2 linked regions of the Astyanax mexicanus genome follow. The protein of the gene in region 1 purifies or fractionates together with the protein of each later gene. This does not show direct contact. Links are inferred from orthologs where the notes say so. Each region holds a gene or a part of one and is shown in the gene's direction. Other genes may lie near its edges. The genes, in order: mtmr10 and mtmr2.

The links.
Region 2: the proteins of mtmr10 (region 1) and mtmr2 purify together in Homo sapiens (affinity purification with mass spectrometry; 5 studies listed by BioGRID and IntAct, with this or other methods). This does not show direct contact. The link is inferred for Astyanax mexicanus from reciprocal best matches to the Homo sapiens genes MTMR10 and MTMR2.

The regions. Positions count from the first base shown.
Region 1 is NC_064430.1:30,634,908-30,645,952, reverse strand, and holds the start of mtmr10 (myotubularin-related protein 10), read left to right. Parts: upstream 1-5,788; 5' UTR 5,789-6,351; coding exon 6,352-6,411; intron 6,412-6,619; exon of another isoform or gene 6,620-6,660; intron 6,661-6,884; exon of another isoform or gene 6,885-6,905; intron 6,906-8,325; exon of another isoform or gene 8,326-8,346; intron 8,347-11,045.
Region 2 is NC_064408.1:38,191,078-38,201,887, reverse strand, and holds the start of mtmr2 (myotubularin-related protein 2), read left to right. Parts: upstream 1-6,132; 5' UTR 6,133-6,292; coding exon 6,293-6,357; intron 6,358-7,720; coding exon 7,721-7,817; intron 7,818-7,990; coding exon 7,991-8,011; intron 8,012-8,141; coding exon 8,142-8,205; intron 8,206-8,582; coding exon 8,583-8,677; intron 8,678-9,069; coding exon 9,070-9,174; intron 9,175-9,856; coding exon 9,857-9,961; intron 9,962-10,082; coding exon 10,083-10,166; intron 10,167-10,810. Other genes in the region: gjb1a (connexin 27.5), read right to left, coding at 1-437, 1,945-1,972. UniProt on the Homo sapiens protein: Lipid phosphatase that specifically dephosphorylates the D-3 position of phosphatidylinositol 3-phosphate and phosphatidylinositol 3,5-bisphosphate, generating phosphatidylinositol and phosphatidylinositol 5-phosphate.

The DNA.
Region 1 (11,045 bases):
ACACTGCTCAACACCACACTGCTCAACATCACACTGCTCAACATCACACTGCTCAACATTACACTGCTCAACACCACACTGCTCAACACCACACTGCTCAACACCACACTGCTCAACATCACACTGCTCAACATCACTGAAAGAGTTTTCACCTGTTTAAATGCTTTAATGATCCTCTGTGAAGAAGCTTAATAATCCATAACGCTTTCTGATGGGAGTTCACTGGTGTTGTGCAGAATCCAGTCCGGGGTCATTTCCAGCCGCTGTGCTGTGACGTCAGTAGCAATAGCTTAAAGTTAGTATTTTTCTGATTACTTCCCTTAAACGATCTCGAAATTCAGCGGATCCAGTGATATTTAGGAGGTAAATGTACACAGAATAAAACGTACAGGGTTCTGAACAGATTTATTTACCACAGAATGTGACAGAGGCCAGTTTTTGAAAAGCCGCCGTTTACATGAACGGCTTAGACACGGAAACCCAAATATGGGCATAAACAACATGGCGTCGACTACAAAATGATGACACGACTTCAGTGATCTATTTGCATAAAGGTATAACTGCTTAGATGGAGTCTGTGTTGGGTGAAGGGGACGAGACGCCAAAGGGTCCTCACTCCCTCGCCTTGTACTTCATTTCTCTCTGTCTCTCTCTCTCTCTCTGGGTTGTGAATGTGTGTTGATGTAATTTTACTCTTTTCTAATATATCTACTCATTTATGTTTCTTTTATATATATGTAATGTTATTTTGTTTTCCAGTAAACTTTAATATATTTTAAATTCTAAACTAATCTTTTAATGTTCTGGGATTGTAACAATCATTCAGTGGGAGTTCTCACTTCTAAGTTTTATCATGCTGTGGTAAATTTCGCTAAAACAGCTAATCGTTTAGGCCCCTAGACAGATTTTGCAGTATATTTTTAAAAGTTGACGTTCCTTTATTAACCTTAACATTAAAGTATAGTGGTATGAAAAGTATAGTGATATGGTTTTTATAACACACAAACAGTCATCCTGCATCAGTAAAAAGATTATTTCCTTTATTCATTCCTTTATTCAAAAAGCTCCACAAAGGACTGCACTTGCTCTCCCCACACGGGAGGCCTCTTCACCCAACACTACAGCAAAATCTGCCACTACAGCAAAATCTGCACACTGTATTATCTAACTGTAACACTAGAGCATTAATAACCAGCATTTTATAAATTTAGAAAACTAATTAAAATCACAGCAGCCCTGTAACAGGTTTAGGGTGAAAAATGCTCCTTTTGCTGGAAGCTTCTTGTCTTAGTGTGCATAAAAAATCGCTCGCTCAAATTAAAGAAAATGTGAGCACAAATTAAAGAAATCGTGAGCACAACTGCAAATCGTTCACTTAAATTGAAGAAATCGTGAGTACAAACTGCTATATCGTTCACTCGATTTATTTATTTTTTTGTATCCATGGCCCCTCCCAGGATCGTACTTGAGAACAATGTTTAATAATCAGTGAGAAAGTTGAAGTTGCTCTGGGACTGAATACTTTAACAAGACAATGACCCTAAATGCTGCTCAAAATCACTCCTATAGCATTAATGCAGAGGAACAGGTACCACAGTCTGGAATGATCATCTCAGTCCCCAGAACTGATTTTTTTTCAACATCACAATTCACTTATTTATATATACAATATTACAAACTAACCCAGCTGAACATTTAACATATAAAATAAATAAGATCCTAACAGCGATGTTTTAGCATGTGGTTTAAAGTCTAACAAGGTAACTAAAGATTCAAAAAGTTTTATTGCCATACAATTAAATCATTATTTTACTAGTCCTCCACTAACACACAAGCTACTAAAACATAAATCTATACAGCAAATAAACTACAGACTACAGACAAAATGAAACCAGACACATACTTAAAACTAAAGATTTTTATTTTAATGCCTGAAATCTAGGAGTGTCTGTATAACAATGAGTCCTCCTCACAAAAAATCACAGCAAAGAACCTTCTTCATTCATTCAGCATTAATACCGTTCACGATATCAGAGGACACAGCCCAAAGCTGTCAATCACCACATGTCCACACTCCTTTATATTTCATAAAATAATATAAAAGCTAGTGGGGCTTTAACTAAATTATCTGATCCTAAATGTAATTTTAGTTTAATATGAAAACGTAGGGCAGACTGCCACGTGCAGCGCCAATAATGGATATATTTTGTAATCCAAATGAAGGAAGAGCCAAAGATTATATATATAGGGCGGTAAAGTCTGAAGATTGTCGTTCATGGTAGGTGAAAAAAAAACTGTCAGAAAATACAATAAACACGTGGTTTAACGAGGACTGAGTTTTTTGTGTAACAGATGGTGATATTAATGTTAAAAAGGTGGAAATACGGCAGATTTTGTCTTTTTCCCAGTACTATCAGCGATTATGCAAATTAAGTGTGAATATAGAATCCTAACCATTGGAACTCGGCACGCAGTTAAACAAAAACACGCAGCAAAATGTACTTCTACGTTGTATTCCTAGACTGGGACTGAATGTGTATTTCTGTATTTTATTGTAAATAAAACACCCCCTCACACAGTCACTCCTCTAGAGTTCAGACTTTTAACTGCAGTAAAGGACAGGAGAGGTGATACTAAAACACGCTGCTTTATAACTAATCTATCCTACACAATTAAACACACTCCACTGCTAAACACAGTGACCAGAGCTGGTTTATGGAGAGAAGATCTGAATATTATAGAATTATAGAAATCTGTGGTGTGATTTAAAGCGAGCTGTTCATGATCAGAAACCATCAAACCTTACAGAACTGAAGAAAATGATACAAAATACCTTCAACCAGAAGACAGACTCTCATAGGAAGGAATAGGAAACGTTTAGAGGCTGTTATTTCTGCAAAAGGAATATCTACTAAATATTTATGTAATTTTTCTGTTGGGGCCCAAATTTATACACCTGCCTAATTTAGTTTAAATAATTATTGCACAATTTCTGTAAATCCTATAAACTTATTTTCACTTATTTAACTGTAATTGCTGATCCGAACAACCAATGATTTATAAAATAAAATCATAAAAAATTGAATTTCAACCACAGTGATTTGCAGATCTATAGTAACATGCTCTATATTAGCTCTACAGGAAGAATTAATTTCATCATTTAACAGTAGTAATGCTGTGAAAATTACAAAAAAAAAAAAAATACTATTTAAAATAATTTTAGAAAACCCAAAGAAAGAAAGGCTTTTAGATACTTTCTCTATAAATGTATTGTGGCGGCTCTGGGTTGTGTGTGTGGCTGCCTGTAGGCATGTTTCTATTCTTCTGTGTTTGGGGCCTCTTGTGTTTTGTTGTGCTGTGTCGCTCCAGCCTACGTAATTGGTACCTCCCCTGTAACCTAGGGTATGGGGAGGGGCCATGCAGATGGATGCTGGTTAGGGCACTCACCGTAGAGTAGGTGGATAGTGAGTTTAGTCACTTGGCTCTGTTGGTAGCCTATAGATAGAATGGTTTTAGCTCTCCTAGTCTTGTTAAAGATTGTAAGTGAGTGGCAAGCCTGTTCATTAAAGTAGCTATTGAGCATTCAGCATGAGTCTCACGGGTCTTCCTTCCTCTTCCACGCCACAGTAAGTTTAAACTTTATGGAAAATGATTATTGAACTATATTTTTTGTTTAAGAAGCACAAATAAATGAACATGAATCATGCTATTTAAATATTATGTTCATATACATAGGCCACACCCCCGTCCATATCTCGGTCACGCCCTCTCCAAACTCTCCGTTCTGGAGTGATTTGGACGTTCGATTCATTTTGTCAAGTTGACTCTTTTGAACTCAACGTTTCAGTGAATCGGGTGTCCGATTAAACGATTCAGTGATTCACAACAAAGCATCACTCTCTGATTCTTTATGATGCTGTTCTCGTGCAGTATTTTCTTAATTTAAAAAATAAAGTAAATGTGAATATGATTGTAGAAAATATACACCATACACGTATTTTTCATCATACTTAATCATACAAAACACAACTAGTAGTGAAATGATTTCATAAAGTTTATGTTAGTGTGAATATGCTTCATATTCATATATAAATAATGTTATTTCCGATTACATTAAAACTACCTGCCGAATATTGTGGAGGTCTCGCTGTGTTACTAAAACAGGTCTAGCCCTCCAGATCCTGAGCATCAGATCTTTTAAGTCCTGTAAAGGATTGGTAATTAAAGCTTTGGCTTTAGCGCCACCTAGTGGTTTGTTTTATACTAGGTTGAACAGAAAACACCTGTCTGCCTGCTTACTGCATTAAAATGTTTCTCTGCAGCTACATATTAATGCCTATACCCTTCTGTTTCTAAGAATTCGAATGAGTATAACACTGTTTATGTAAAGCATACATTTGTATGTATATTTTATATATAATCCCTTTGATGTGCAACATGGGTCAAAATGACCTGGCTAAGTATTAATTTTAGATATCTTTGCCAATCTTTGCCTCAATAACTTGTTTTTGATCATCATACATTCTTATTTAATATTATTTAAGTAAGAAATGTAAAAATAAAATAAGGATGCACGATGATCAAAAAAAGAAGTTAATTGAAAAATACCTTACATTTTGAATGACTGAATTAATGTATTGCTAAAATATATCATATAAACACTCAGTTGAGCATGAATTTACATGGAGAAGAAATGTCTTCTCTTTGGATTTAGTTTAGTGGATTAGTTTGGAGATAGATTTTAGATTTTACATTTACATAAACATGAAATAATAAAAATAAAACCAGTTTTTCTTTACTTAATTTAGTAGTTTTTGTCATAATCTGGATTAGAACATTACTCAAATAGAGCTACTCACTGTATACCTGTAACTCTACCTCTTCAAAACTTTACAACTGATGCTCTCAAACACATTAAGTGGCAACAAATTCAAGTAATTAACTCTTGACAAGTTCAGCACAGCTGTTAACTGAAATCCACTCCAGAAGTTTCTACTTTATGAAGCTGTGCAAAGCTGTCATCTAAGAATATATAAAATATATTATGGTTTATTTAACATATTTTTGTTTCCTAAATAATTCCAGATGTTTCTTCTCATAGTTTGGATGATTTTAGTATTATTCTACAATGCAGAACATTTCAAAATAATGAAAAAACACTAAATTGAAGGTGCATCCATTACAATGGACAACATGTGTTTTCTTTATTTTTAAATTATTTGTTGCACATAACACTATTTGAGAGTTGTTGTCCATCAGAATAGACCAATGTGCCAATGAACAATTTTATAAACCAATGAAACTGAAACTTGGCCCCGCCCACTGCACTGGAAAAACATTTGGAAAAACAAATTTGCCATTAAGGCAAAGTTACAGCTAATTTAATGTGATTTAGATCACTTTTTAATCATGTTTTTTGTTACTGTTTAGGGATGGTTTATGGAATGAAAAGGTCGATATAGAATATAAAATATTACACACAGTTTTTCAATGCAATAGAAATAAAAAACTTCAATATTTTAGTTAATTTTATTTATTTATTTTTATTTATTAATTTATTTGCTATATAGATTTTATAGTGGAATATTACAGTATTTTTTTCTGTGATTTACAGACAGAAAACAGCTTTCTCACATTTTCTTTCCATCACTGGAGATAATTCAGGTCTGAAAGGGTTAAGTTGTGTCCAAACAGAAACACTTGACTCAGTTGCTGGATCTGCGAGTCTCCTGAATCGGTTCAACCGGTTCACTTGAAAAGATTCGATTCATCTGCGAGTCGTTCACAGTCCGCTACTTGTGTAAACATGGCCGCGGAGTCTCCTGCAGGAACCGAGCGCCCTCAGTAAAACCCAGCGCAGCTCAGTCCGCGGGGGAGCAGCGGGGAAACTGCAGCCGGGACCGGGCTTCGGGGGGTCCGGACACATTTTACCGCAGTGAGGAAAAGGAGGAAGACCCGCGGCGGAGCGCAGGGTTTAGAAAAACTACAGAACCGCTGGAGGAAAAGTTCAGCCCCGCGCCGAGTTTGACAGGCAACTTACCGGAGAGCTAATGCTAACAGCGCTAGCGGGGTAAAGAGAGAGAGGGAGGGATAGTTATCTGAGTGAGTTTAACTATGTTTCTCTCTCTCTCTGGAGTTTAAGAGTTTCAGAATGAATGAAGACTGGGTCTGGGGTTAATCCTGCAGCAGCAGAGACTGGAGCCGGACTGCTGCTTCTCTCTAAACTGAACTACATAAACTAGTTAATCTGAAGTTGGAGCTGCTGAAGATCAGCTGCAGCTCTGGAGTCTGGATTTAACTGAGAGTTTGTGAGGTTGTGGGTGTCAGTCTGCTCCCAGACCAGCTTTAAACATGTTTTCTCCTAAAACTCCTCCAAAACCAACCTTTAAATCCTACCTTCCTCCACTTCAGGTCAGTAAATCTCTTTAATCTGCTATATTTATGTGTCTTGGCTTTGTTGAACATGCTGGTGGTGGATAGATGTTTACTAACCTACAGTAGTTTATTTCATTTGTACAGTAAATATGGTTTGAAGACACAAGATTACTAACTTTTAACAGTAAAAAACTGTAGTGATGATAAATGTAATACTGTTTTCTACTAAAACATCAGCAAAACCAATAAATACTACCTTTTAAATCCTACCTTCCTCCACTTCAGGTCAGTAAATCTCTTTATTCTGTAATATTAATGTGTTTTAGCTTTGTTGAACATGCTGGTTGTGGAAAGAGGTTTTGCCACAGTAGTTTATTTCATTTATACAGTAAACATGGTTTGAAGACACAAGAATACTCACTTTTAACAGTAAAAACCTGTAGTGATGAGACATTTAATACTGTTTTCTACTAAAACATCAGCAAAACTAATAAATACTACCTTTTAAATCCTACCTTCCTCCACTTCAGGTCAGTAAATCTTTTTAATCCGCTATATTTATGTGTTTTGGCTTTGTAGAACATGCTGGTGGTGGATAGATGTTTACTAACCTACAGTAGTTTATTTCATTTGTATAGTAAATATGAGTCGAAGACACAAGATTACTTACTTTTAACAGTAGAAAAACTGCAATTACACACAGAGATTGGACACGAGAGATAAATATATCAGTTCAGTAATACAATTTTCTACTAAAACACCTCCAAAAACAACATTTAAATCAGTTAGTTATGGGTTTTGGCTTTGTAGAACATGCTGGTGGTGGATAGATGTTTTGCCACAGTAGTTTATTTTATTTATATAGTAAATATTAGAGGTGTGCCAAAAAATCGATTCACATAAGAATCTTGATTCTCATTTACTACGATTCAGAATCGATTTAAAATGTCCCAAAATCGATTCTGAGGGGCGGGTTTTAGACTGATTTTGGGCTGGGTATTTTTGTTGGACCTGGCAACCCTGGGGATAGGGCTTGTCCCTTCAAACGGAGATCTTCCAGACACACACAGAGCGTAGGTGTTTGAGAATCACCGGTAAGATGGCAGAACAAGCACTATATTACCTTAGATTAACGTGTAGTTTCAATGTTTTATGGCAGAATGCTTCATAACAAGCATAAAAAAGATCGCTAGTAGTTAGTTTCAGTAACTGTTAGCTAGCTAACTAGCTAACTTTCCAGTTCCACCTTAAATAACGCTACAGGTGGCAGCGGGCTGCAGCATTTAAGGCGGAACGGAAAAATAACAATAAGCTAATCAGAGCTAATTTCAGCTCCTCATCACAGAGGAATTAAGGAATGGACAATATGAATTAATTTCTCCACCTCCTGCCCCCTTTCTGAAGAAATACAACCACCTTAAATTAACTAGTTAATCAGCAGCTGCTCCTGAACTTTAGCGCTCCACTGCTATCATCACATCAGCCCAGCAGCGTCACCTACACACCACCGCTAGTAGCCTGGTAATAAAGCAGTGTTATTTATTATTTATTTATTGTTCATTAACGTCATTGTGATATCCCAGTGATTTCTCTGTCACTGAGGACCCACATTCCTGCACATTTTATTGTTTTTGTAACACATTACTTGCTCCAGGACCAGTGTATATTATGGAGGGTTTTTTTTTCAATAAGATTCATAAGCCAGAAGCAGAAATTTTTATAATTCAAATCGTTTTGAATCAAAAATCGATTTTGAATCGAATCGTGGCCCCCAAAATCGGAATCGAATCGAATCGTGAGATAGTAAACGATTCCCACCCCTAGTAAATATGGTTTGAAGACACAAGATTACTTACTTTTAACAGTAAAAAAAAAAAACTATAGTGATGAGAAATTTAATACTGTTTTCTACTAAAACATCAGCCAAACCAATAAATACCACCTTTTAAATCCTACCTTCCTCCACTTCAGGTCAGTAAATCTCTTTAATCTGTAATAGTTATGGGTTTTGGCTTTGTAGAACATGCTGGTGGATGATACATATTTTACTACAGTAGTTTATTCAATTCATACAGTAAATATGGTTTAAAGACACATTATTTCTCACTTTTAACAGTAGAAAACATTGAGAATTTCACATACACTGCTAAAACAACTGCAGTAACAACAACCAGTAATAACAGAAAACCTTTCTAATCTGTTACATTTATGAGTTTTGCGCTTGGAGAACATGCTGGTCTCTCATATTGGTATATATTGGTAGTGTATTAAACAAGGAGAAGGTAATGTTATCACTTAATTTATTACAGTAAATATGGTCTTCAGACAACAAGATTACTCCCTTTTATCAGTAGAAGACTTGAAGATAGATTATTGTAGTAAATATAGTCGTATAGGCCACAAGATTACTCAGTTTGATTGATGCTGGAATACTACATATTAAGCTGGTTGACAGATTTAGCTTTAGAGCATCAGCATCAGCATATAATATATATATTTTTGAGTTTGATGGTTTAACTGGTCTACAAAAAATAACCTAACCAAGCTAAGCAACCAGTATGGCCAAGCTTTACCATGCTGGTTGACCACCATGACCAAAATGACCAAGACTATTGACAAACATGACCAAACAGGTCTATCAGCATGACCAGAATCCAATGCAAAATGCACCATTCTGTTCAAGCGCTGGTAATGAGTCAGCTTATCAGTAAAGGACATGTTTTTATCTGAATGACCAGTTTTCAACCCTCTTGGCCAGTTTAGACTGTCCGAAACCAGCAACCAGCAAAACTGGTCTTGAGCATTTTGCAGTATATTGTATTACTGGGTACTATATACTAGATTTAGGTTATAAGTGAGATAAACACCAGTTAAACAATACTGTTTTCCACCCAAACTCCTCCATAACCAACATTTTATTTCAAGATCTTTATAATCTGTATATATATATATATATATATATATATATATATATATATATATATATATATATATATATCTGTTATATAACCCATATACTGTATATGGGTTTTGGCTTTGAGGAACATGCTGGTATTTTCAGATTGGTATGTAGGTATTGATAGTGCATCTGACAGTATATATATATATGAAAATGTATTATATTCAAAAAATTATTGTATTTATGAATATTTACTATATTAAATACAGTCTTTAGGCTTTTATTGCATTGTATTATCAGTAGGAATCCGATTGTTATTGAAATCCTGGAATTTTCGTGTGATAAAAGGAATGGTAGAAAATAGAAAACATACACAGTTTGATCTCTACAGGCTAATCAGAATCAGAATAATAAGTTATTTTTTTCACGATCATGCTAAATATACTAGTAGAGTGTGAATAGGTTAAACACCAGTTCAGTGTAATGTTTGAGATGTAGGACAATCTTAAAAAAATATAATTAAATGTAAATTGTATGTAAAGTATCGTGAGTGTAAAGCGCTTTCAGTAGATCTAATATTGGCAAGCTTGTATCTCCGATTTACATAACAACTCTTCTACATGTCATTTAAATAACAACTGACACATTATGTCAAAAAGTGAAAAATGGAGATAAAAGGTTTTGGCCCAACACGGCTGATGCATTTATGTGCGTCATGTATATTTCCTTCTTTAATTCTGCACTGGAACTGTGAAGCTAATATAATAGAAGTTGGTCACCCAATTCACTACTGCAGAAGTAATATTAGTGCTGCAGTTTCTGTAAATGTAAAGCAATGAAAGCATTTACTGGTAAAAAAAAGAAAGCTGCCACAAATAGGTCTATCATGCTTACTTTATTATTGTAATTTTAATACCATTTAGTGTAATTATTGCCATTGTAATTCCATTTAAGAACGCTATAAAGCAGTTAAACTCTCTTAAATGACAATGAAATATATGCAAAAATGGGTCAGTACATAAAATTACTTTTTCACAGAAATCAAAGTTCTTTGAAAATTCCAACTTTGATTTGAAAGAGACGGTCAAGATATGAGTGAAATTTGTTATGTTCGAATGACCCTCTGCCCTGCCCAACCTCAGAGGAATCACAACTATTGTTACCATAGTGCACCAGATTATGAGATGCACTATCAATGAATGTCTATTTTCTGGTCCATTTAAAAATATATATTTGGAATAAAAAACATTTTATTTTAAAGTCAAACGAGCACTGGATGTTCATTTACACAGATTTCTCTCCTGAAAACTGTTTATTTGGGTGAGTTTACTTACAGTAACTGTTTATTTACAGCAAGATTACCAGATTTCTACTAAGGCTTGGTGCAGCAGCAGTAGCATTAGCGGCTAACCGCTAACTGTGGTTAGAGTTAGCAAATGCCACCTGATAGTGATACACTGAGGACCCCTGAGTGTTCTGGTAATCCAGGAAGTTATTAGCTAGTAGTTCGTCCCGCGTAGCTTGTTTTAACATGGTAAACATGCAGGCTTTTAGCGCTATTAGCCGGTAATGCTAAAGCTGCTCCAGCAGTGCTAGCTGGGGTTAGCCCTGATTACAAGCCGATGATACTCATCTCTGAACAGCAAAGGAGCTAGCGCTTAGCGTGGTTAGAGGCTAATGCTAATACTGCTCGGTGCCTCGGTGCTAGTGAACTAAACTGAAACTCCTGTATAACGCTGTACTTCAGTGGAGTGGCTTTACTGTTGCTTAC
Region 2 (10,810 bases), on another chromosome or scaffold:
GAACAGCAGGCTGATCAGATATGTCCACCAGAGGGCGCCGGTGATCTTCATCTTCTGCATTTTGATCTGCTCTAGCTCCTTAGGGCTACCGCGGCCTGTGCGGCGGTACAGCTTCTTGTCCAGGTGTCGGCGGTGCGCGATGTGCATGGTGACCAGCAGGGCGGGGCTGGAGACCAGGATAAGCTGTAGTGCCCACAGGCGGATGTGTGAGATGGGGAAGAACTGGTCGTAGCAGACACTGTTGCACCCCGGCTGCTGTGTGTTGCAGGTAAAATGAGACCTCTCATCGCCCCAGACGCTCTCAGCCGCCACCACCAGCACCAAGATCCGGAAGATAAAGAGAACGGAGAGCCAGACACGGCCGATCCCAGTGGAGTGCCGATTTACGCCGCTGATCACGGCGTAGAAGGACGCCCAATTCATTTTTGGTTCCAGGTCTAAAACATAACAAAAAGATGCTGTTAAATACAAACATGCAGATACTACAAGGAATCAGTGAATTGGACTTTTGGAACATTTTACACACTTTCCACTCTTCTCATTTTAATGTAAAGGCAGTATCTACGGAACTCCTGTAGATGGCAGCAGCTTTAAAACTGCAATGAATCATGTAAAAGTGCTATGCGTGCATAAGAACTCCAAATAAATTCCATTTATATAAATGTACTGCAGGTGACATTGTAAACAAGTGTATTTCATGCTACTAAAGTTATAGTAAATATTAAGCCTAGCCACTATTGAATATTAAGCCTGTGACAGTAGGTAGTCCTATGAACTCAGTCTCAATGCAAGTATATTTAGGCAGGTGCATCAGCTGTGTAATTTTTGTATCAGTGGCTTGAGGCTTGTTAAGGTCAATTCATGCAAGAAACCAAACTAGGGAATTAAAAAAGAGAACAAAGGAGAAGGAGAATACACAAAAAAACGCTGAATAATAAACAACAAAGACCAACGAAGGAACATGAAAATGCTGGGGTATAAATACACAAGAAGGGAAACGGAAATAGGAGACACCTGGGGAAACAGGTAAGAGGGGGCGGAGTAACAAATAAGACACAGGTGAAGGCACTAGACATAGAGGAGTACAGTCACATGGGGAACACACACACAGGAATAGGAGGGAGAATGACAGGTAAACAACAGATACAGGAGCACAGATGGGAAACAAGGCAAGGATGTGACAAATTAATTTAGTGGAAATGCATGAATATTAAATAAAATAACAAGAGTTTCAGAAACAGCTGGAATTCATGCATTTCCACTGAATTTGTTTTTCAATCTGTTTCCCTATACCACCTATTCGTTTATGCTCATCAGTCTACTTATCGTGACTTAATTTCAAGATGTTGGCGCCCAGAGAGCTACCTTAAGATACTTTGTTTATAAACAGTGTTTTATTAAGCTACCTCTGCACTTTCAAAGTTCTTAGTGCTTATTTTAAATTTCACACCTTATTAACCCTGTAAGTAGTGGCTGTGTGTTATTATATTAATAGATAGTTAGTCATTAGCTTGTGGCTATTGCATTAGCTTGTGTTTAGACTAAGATGGGAATGCAATAAACAACTTTTGACTGACTTGCCTTAATACACCTGTGTGCAAACGTTTTTGCAATCCAAGTGAAACACTAATTATAGGTGTTTTTTAAGTCACATCCTCACCAGTTTTTTTTAAGGTGTTAAATAAGTCACAAACTCTACTTTTACAGATTAAGACATAGTTGTAGATTTAAAAAAGTTTATGGCACATAAAATGTTATGTTTTCTCTGTTAAATTGAGTAAAGAAGTAGAAATTTTGTGTACAAAAATTGTCATAATTAAGTTTATTACATATTTATTCACGTATTTACACTCAGAACACCAAGAACCCATATAATTCGAAGAGGAGTGCACAACTTTTGCACACAACTGTGAATACAAATGCTAAATTGTGTGTGTCAGTTACCAGGCTCCGGCGGTGGCGTTAGAGGCATGGGCAGAACCCCACTGAGCGTCCAGAAGCATCACAGTCCCTCCAGTCTCAGATACTTTTCCTGTGCAATTCTGTGTGTTTGTGTATGTGTGTGTGTGTCAGCCAGTCTGGCTGTTGCTGCCACTGTTTAAGAACACACACCCATGTGACCCCTTATCACTTAGTCAGTTCTCCGCCCCCTTTGCACAATGTGACGCGAGGGTCAACGAGTGTCTGGACAATCCAACAGTGTGTTTGGGGAGGGGGGTACATCCTGTACCTCATTTACTTCACATTCAACATGTGCGATTCTTTTGCTATAATTCAACAGTTGAAATGTAATAGAATAGAATACAGTCAGATCAAGAAACTTTTTACAGTGGGGTTTTGCCAAAACGTTTTAGAAAAAAATGAAAATGATTAAGTTGTTGCAACTAGTGGACTGTGTTCCTGGCAAAAAAGTCATGCTGCTCACAGATTCACCAACATGTATAGAAAACTTCCTCAGCCAAACAAATGGGTTAGCTGCAGTAGCTTTCTTTCTCTGTTTGCACCTTGACTTCACATCAAGCTGCACCAATCCTTGATCCAAATGTAAATGAGTCTGGCCTCCTCCAATGCCTAAAAATGCTTGGCTTCATAACAGGCCCTGATGTGGCTTCTGTCTTTAACAGTAAAGCAGCATTGCACTGCCCCATAAAGGAAACACTTTACACGTGATTTTCTGGATAAGCTAAAAGTGAACAAATCATGTGGCCTGAGGAGGTAGTTACCAGATATAAAGTGTAGTTTACAGCATGAAGAGCCTGTGTAACACCTGCACACACTGCACCTTTTAGATCAGCCTCTCCGGAGTACTAATAAGCTGACTCCACCTCTTCCATACACCTGTAAGACTTCAACTGATTACTTGGACTATTGATACTGGTTCTCTTACTGTCTCCAGTTGTAAGATATTGCCACTCTTATCAAGCATTATATACTTTGTTTGTTATTCTTGGTTGTTGATCTTTGCCTGCTCTTTGACTATGAATTTTGCCTTGTGTTCTATTTTATTTTATTTTTTTATCTCTACCTGTTTTTGACAGCGATTTTGGCTGGTGTTTTTGCATAAATAAACCTGCCTTGCATTTGCATCCAAACTATCCTGGTTGCTTCTTACAGCCTGGATTACCAAGGATTACCAAGGATTACCATTCAAATTTTACATGTGTATTTGTTTCATATTCATTCCACCAATTTTTTATTTGCTCAGTATTTTAAAGGTTGAAGGTGAAAGTTTTAGTAGGTAGTTTGAGGAGACTTGTGGGTAGTTGGAGGTTGGAGGTAAGAATGGAGGCTAGTTAGAATGCAGGTCTTGAGTGATTGGTATTTGGAAGTAAGGGTGGATGTACTTAAATGAAAGTGCTTGGTAGTTGGAGATGATAATTGGTAGTTGTGGTAAGAGTGGTTGGTAGTTATAGGTGAGACTGGTAGGTTGTTGGGGTGAGTTGGGTGGGTAGCTTGAGAAAAGGTGGTTGGTAGTTGGAGGTTTGAGGTGAAAGTTGTGGGTAGTTGGAATGAGTGTGGTGGGGAGTTGGGAGGTTGAATGTGATAGTGGTGGGGAGTTGGAGGTTGAATCTAAAAGTGGTGGGTAGCAATGGGTAAGAGTGGTTGGTAGTTGGAGCAGAGAGTTTTGATTAGATGAAGGTGAGATTGGTGGGTAGTTAAAGGGTTTAATGTGGAAGTTTTAAGATGAAAGTGTTGGGTAGTGGGAGGTGAGAGTGATGGGTAGTTTGTGGTGAGAGTGGTGGGTGGTTGGAGGTGAGAGTGGTGGGTAATTGGATGTGAGAGTGGTGGGTAGATGGAGGTTAGAGTGAAGGGTAGTTAAAGGTGAGAGTGGTGAGTAGATGGAGGTTATGGGTAGTTGGGGTAAGAGTGATTAGCAGTTGGAGGTTGGAGGTGAAAGTGGTGGGTAGTTGAAAGTGAGAGTAGATGGAGGTCAAAGTGGTAGGTAGTTGCAGTTGAGAGTGGTGGATAGATGTAGATGAGAGTGGTGAGTAGATGGTAGTCAAAGGGGTGGGTAGTTGGAGGTGAGAGTGGTGGGTAGTTAAAGGTGAGAGTAATGGGTAGTTGGGGTAAGAGTGATTGGCAGTTGGAGACTGGAGGTCAAAGTGGTGGGTAGTTGCAGTTGAGAGTGGTGGGTAGTTGGGGTAAGGGTGAGGGGCAGTTTGAGGTTGGGGTAAGAGTGGTGGGTAGTTGGAGGTAAGGGTGGTCAGTAGATGGAGGTGAGACTGGTGGGTAGTTGAAGGTGACAGTAATGGGTAGTTTGGGTAGGAGTGATTGGCAGTTGGAGGTGGAGGTCAAAGTGGTGGGTGTTTGCAAGTGAGAGTGGTGGGTAGTTGTAGTTGAGAGTGTTGTATTGGTAGTTTAGAATGGTGTGTTGGTTGTTTGGTAGTTGTAGATAAGATTGGGGGTTTACCTGTGGTTTGGTGGGGTCCGTGCTGAGAAAGAAGCGGAGCAGCTGGAGTTAACAGCAGTGCAGAAAGGGTTGATGTGTGTGAGTTTGAGAGAGGGCTGTTATGATACAGCTCAGCGACTTTGCATTGCTAATGAAGAGCAGTCACGCTGTAGCCGCTCCCATGCTACCATTAGCATACAATGGCTGCTTGTACTGTTCTTTTTACCATTCAGATCAGTCCGCTGATACACACCCACCACAGCACAGAGACTAACACTCTGACGCACATCCACACACACACACCAGTTATACAGTGGGACTGCATGTTTTAGACATAAAGCAGGGCACGCGTAAAAAGAGAGAGAAATCATAAAAAATGGACATCTTTCAGAGAGAACAAAAACAAGCAATGACAACAAGCCGCATGTTATTTTTTAGTAAACCATTAACTGGTTTACATTATTATTTTATTTTTCATCTTTTCAGTTTAGGGAGGAGCAAACGTGCTGCATTCCATTTTGAACTTGGATGTTGGACGTTCCAAGTAGGAAATTTAAAATATTTTCTACCTGGAAAACTCAAAGAGGGTTACTAACCCTGAGTTCAGAATCCAAGATGGCTGCACTGCTCACCAACAGTAGTAACTGCAGTAGTACAAGTTGTAGTAAATGTCCAAGTCTTTTTTTATAAATATTTTAAAATAGTACACAATTATTGCACAAATTGCTGGTCAAAAGCTAGTTAACGAGCTAGCCTGCCAACATTGGGTGTGTTGTTTTTTTTCTGGATGCCTAGCTGATCTTGAGTCCGGGAGACCCACTGCCATGCACATTGTAATGGTTTTTCTGCTGTAGTACACCCAACTGAACTCACTGTGAATGAACAGATTCTCAGATGAGGAGAGATTAGAAGATGTTTTAAGGTAAACAGTGCTGTAAAAGCATTGCTTTTGGTAAAATTGCTGTTTGTATTTATTGTAATGTTAGTGTTTTTACTGAGCTGATAAACACTAACTTCACAGAAAGAAGCTTTTTCTTTACTGAAATTCCCACAGGTGCCTAAAACATTTGCACAATACTGTTAACAAATTATACTTGAGGAACTAAATCTTTAATTACTGGAGTATTATTTTTTTCTCCTGCCTCTACTTTTGTCAATGCATATTTTCAATGAGTATAATAATACACTGATACATTTTTGAGTGCTGCATCATTACTCATTAAAATTAAAAAACACGCATCTGTCCTTTGACAGCTGAAGTTGATTTTACAATAGTGATAGACCGACTAGTGACCTTTTGTGCAAAATGGGTTGAAATATCCTAATGACTTTTGGGTAAGTATGTTTAGAGAGTTGACTGAAGACATGATGTACATGTACTCTAACTTGTACATTTATGTGCTTGTGCTGGTGTTGCAGCTAAATATATTGTAAATGCCCTTTAGCCTAAATATTGAAAATATTATAAACAATATGAAATTTAAATGTCTGACTGCTCTCTGTTATTATTCATAACACTACTACTTTTACTTTCAGTACTTGAGTTGTACATTTTAGAATAAACTACTTGCAATATTTAAGTACAAAAATGTTGAATACCTTAGTACTCTCTGCTGACAACTTGTGGAAATGCGGATTTTAAAATAGATCACTCTGTGTGTAATACATGTATTTATGAGTTTCACATTTTAAGAGAGAGAGAGAGAGAGTGTTGAGTTGAGCTGGGGTGAGCTGAGGTGAGGTGAGAGGGAGAGAGGGGGACTGTGGGTAAAGATGGCAGCTTCCTGTGTGTGTGTTGATCTGCTGTAGCTGTGGTTGTGAGGAGGTCGGCGGATCTAAATGCTGGTTTGATCGCTGGATTAGTCGCTGGTTCCCTGCAGGACTCGGTGATTCTCCTTTTTGATGGACCCGGGCTCTAACGGGGAGTCGCCGGGCTCCAGGCAGCCCAGCCTGGACTCACTCTGCAGGTACTTCCGCCCCTTACAGCCAGCAGCGAGCTAACGCGGCTAACCGCTAATACTGAGGGAAAAACACAGATTACCTGGAAAAAACACAGCGGAGTTCACAGAAACAGTTTAAAACCCACTACTGGAGAATATTTCTGCTACACGGAGAAACACTAATGAGTACTAGACCCCGGTTAACCGGGAGGTTTCCGCTGGAGCTAATTAACTAGTTAGCTAACTGAGCTAGCTAACTGATAATGTCAGTTTATTTACATGTTCAGCTAACTATCATTGTACCTATAGCAACACTTATAGGTTAGCTAACTAAGCTAAGCTAGCTAGTGTTGACAAGTAGCCACTCCATTTAACTGTCGTGTCATTAAATCAATTACATTGTACCTCGTTAAGTATCTGCCACAGCTAACTAAGTTATCTGTCAGTGGTGTAAAAGGCACATACACTTTGTATCTAGCTTCTTTAATAAACGTAACTAGATACCCAGGGTGAAATATTACTCCAGTAAAAGTAGCTAAAGCCCCCTTAAATACAGAATATATATATATATATATATATATATATATATATATATATATATATATATATATATATATATATATATAAAACAGGTTTTAATATGACTTTTATGCCCTGTCATGTTTATAACAAGACTTTTCATTAATGAAAACCGTAGGTACATTTCACTTTGGGCTGGCCCTAAAATAATATTGTGATACTTCACAGTATTTTTGCGATAGCGATGTGACGTTATGTATACAAAACATTGAATTAAAGAAAAGTTGATTTCAAGAACAAACTACTGCAACACAGTGAATATTACATTTAATTTGGTGAAATTATTGCATACAATATGAAGTGGAAAAGCCCTAATTGAGATTGTAACAGAAGTCAATGATCCAACATGTAGTGATGCTAATACTTTATATATCCAGGACTGACGGAGAATAGTGTGAATTTTCCACTTTGCTACAAACAACAATAACAGTTGTACCCTGATAGTCCATTTGGGCCAATGGTATTTAAAAAATTGGGGGATATTTTTGTGTATAGTATGATATGGCACACTCCTAGCATCACTCTTGGTTCACCTGTTTTTTATTAAAATAGTTTCCAATAGGGAGAACCAGGTGAATATAACAATTTTTTGCTTGGTCTTGGTAAATAGGTCTTGATATATTTGCAATTTGAGGTAATTTGGATTGCGTCTCCCTGTTCTCTGTGTTAACATGCAGACTGTGTTCATGTGCATTCAGACAGTTCATACAAAAAGAGAGGAAAGACTTTTAAAGCTGGATTGCTCAAATTTGTTGGCACAGAACATGTGTTTGTGTATTACATTTGTAATTCCAAGTTATTTATTCCACAGCTCCTCCACATCTCGGTCAGATCGGTCCTTTCAGACCAAAGGCCCATCAATCTCTTCAGAGCAAAACTCCAACAGTGATCTTTCACCCCAGCTACGGGTGAGAATCATAACTATTAGTTCTTCATTATATTTTAAATAGGATAAATAAATTAGGAATAATAATATGTATATTTTATAAGTAGAGCTTTTCTAAAGCTCATTATTGTTATTGTTATATTGTTATGTCCTGAATTTTTATTTTTAACTAAAATGTGTGTTTGTATTTCACAGGTGAAGGGAAAGCCTGCAAAGGTAGTATTAGTTTGCCTAGTTTACACATTAATACACAAAACAAGCTCATATTGTTTGAAATTATAATCTCTTTCTCCCTCTCCCTCCCTCTCTCTCTCTCTTTCTCTCTTTCTCTCTGTCTTTGTCTCAGACATTCAGAGACTCAGGGAAGGATGATGTTGAGCTCTTGCCAAAGGAGGTGGTGCAGGACGTGGGTGAGGCACTAATAAACATTACTTTAACAGATATAATTTTAAGTATTCTGGGTTAAGGCTGCTCTGAAACACCAGAAGCACCATTGAGGCTCAACACACTTGGAGGAGGACACTAACTGTTCTGTAACAGCTTTCAACAAGATATGCTATCTGACACTTATATTTTAAAGATTGTAATAATTTCTGCTGTTTTAGCACTTTAAGAAGATTTTACAATTACAAATATGCAAACATGTAATTTATTAGAGTACTGTTTAGGTAAAAGTAAAGTGTAATTTTGGGTATGATTTTAAAGTAACCCTTTTATGACCCTGTTTTAAGGTCTGCTGCATGTGGTCTACTGACCTCAGTTCTGTTTTTTTTTTTTTTGTGTCTAGGCAAAGATGTGACATACATCTGTCCATTTCTTGGAGCTCTGCGGGGAACACTTACTGTTACCAACTACAGACTGCTCTTCAGAGGAATTAACAGGGTAATACACATAATCATGAACTGCAGATACTATCAGCACTTTCACTACTTCTAGTTTGCATTGGACCACATTTAAAACTATTGCACATTCTCCAATGTGACTGTTACACACATTAGGCCAACAATGCTAAAATGATATACTGTGCAGTCCTATTACAAACTGCATTGTTGTGACTTTTGTTGCTTAAAATGTATGTACGTGTATATATATATATACTAATATAAGATGTTCACTTTGTATATTTCTGACCCTGTGTTGGTTTCAGATGCCATTTATGTCCATGATGAGAGCCATGTAAACTTTATAGGTTCTTTATGACCGATCAAGTAGCAGTATGTTACTGTGTTACTGCAGCTTTAAGTGTGTGTGTGTGTGTGTGTGTGTGTGTGTAGGAGCCTGGCGTTGTGCTGGATTTGCCACTAGGAGTGATCAGCAGAGTGGATAAGATTGGCGGCGCGTCCAGTCGAGGAGATGTCTCCTACCACCTCTTCTGCAAAGTGGGTGATGATAAATTATTAACAACAGTTTAAAAGAGCTATACAACATTTTTCTCCATTAATGCACATAAGCCTGTCAGGGAAACTATTTTAATTGGTCAATTATATTATTATATAATTGCGATAAGCAATATTATTGTCATAATACAATCACTTTGGGCCACTGATAATGACTAAATTACAGCTGTGTAATGCAATTTCTTCATTTTAAAGAGCATTAAATGGACTGTTTTAATGGACAAAATGGACATATCTAACTGTTCACATTAATGCGCTCTCTTCTTGATAAGTAACAATATTGAGGTTGTGTTCATGAAACATTAGTTGATAACATAATTGTTGTAACAGGTCTATATTAGATAGTATGATGTCAGCCTGGAGGCGGCTGAAGCGCACTGGCTCATGGGCTAAATAGGAAGTTGTACACACAAACACACACACGCATACAGACCAAACATGGATGCTGAACATAAACTTTAATGAAACTTCATTGTGTGTTTTATAATTAGTATATAAAGTCTATAATCACTTTGTGTTGTTTCATGAAAGTTGTTATATATTTTAAAGAATTAAATCAGAAAGCTTCAGAATAAAGGGGTTTATTTATGGTTTTGATGATATTTTATTCCTATTATTAAATCTCCTTGAATTGTCTTGCTTTTTTACTGTGTGTGTTCTATAGGATATGAGGAATTTGCGGTTTGTGCATAAGCAGCCGGATGATTCATTAAAGAAATCTGTTTTCGAGGTGCTAACCAAATTCGCCTTCCCTGTCTCCAACAATCTGGTGAGTGTTTGTATGCATGTGCGCGTATTAGCGTGTGCACATTTTACATGAATTTCTCACTGGCTAACACTCTCCCTCGTTCTCTCTCTCTCTCTCTCTCTCTCTCTCTCTCTCTTTGTAGTCTCTCTTTGCATTTGAGTATAATCAGGTGTTTCCTGAGAACGGGTGGAAGGTGTATGATCCTCTAGCTGAATACAGGAGACAGGTACAGTTTAAATGCATACAGTGTCTTTCTATATCGGGTAAAAAAATAAATAAAAATATAGCCGCAAGCGGCAATCATCGGGTTCAAGCACCAACTTGCACAATGGTGCCTACTGGAGCATTGAATGGTGATGTGTAAGAAGGTCTAATATGATTGGAGATGCCCTGTCACATTTAGAAATTATCAAGTTTTTCACCTGTTATTAATGTTGAGCAGAGGCCTTTCAACCTGACCAGTGCTTAAATTCACATGTAAATCTAGTGAACTTTGTAGGATATTCATTAAGTGAGTTAGAACTAGTCAAAAGGTGTCTACATGTTATTGGTATTGATCAGGTGGCTTCAACCAGAATGTTCACAAAGTGGTATTCAGATTGACCTTTGAACCTTTGCAGAACAAGCTGAAATGTTTGACCAAACAAGTTTAAATTAACACAAAGGAGTGAATGTTCTGATATGACATGTAATTACGAAGTTATTATAAATCTAGTTCTGAATTAAATGGCGCTTCATCAAGCACCAACTAGCACAATGGTGACTACTAGAGCATAGGATGGTGATGTGTAAGAAGGTCTAACACAATTGGAGACATTCTGTCACATTTAGAAATGATCAAAAGTCTTTCACCTGTTATTAATGTTGAGA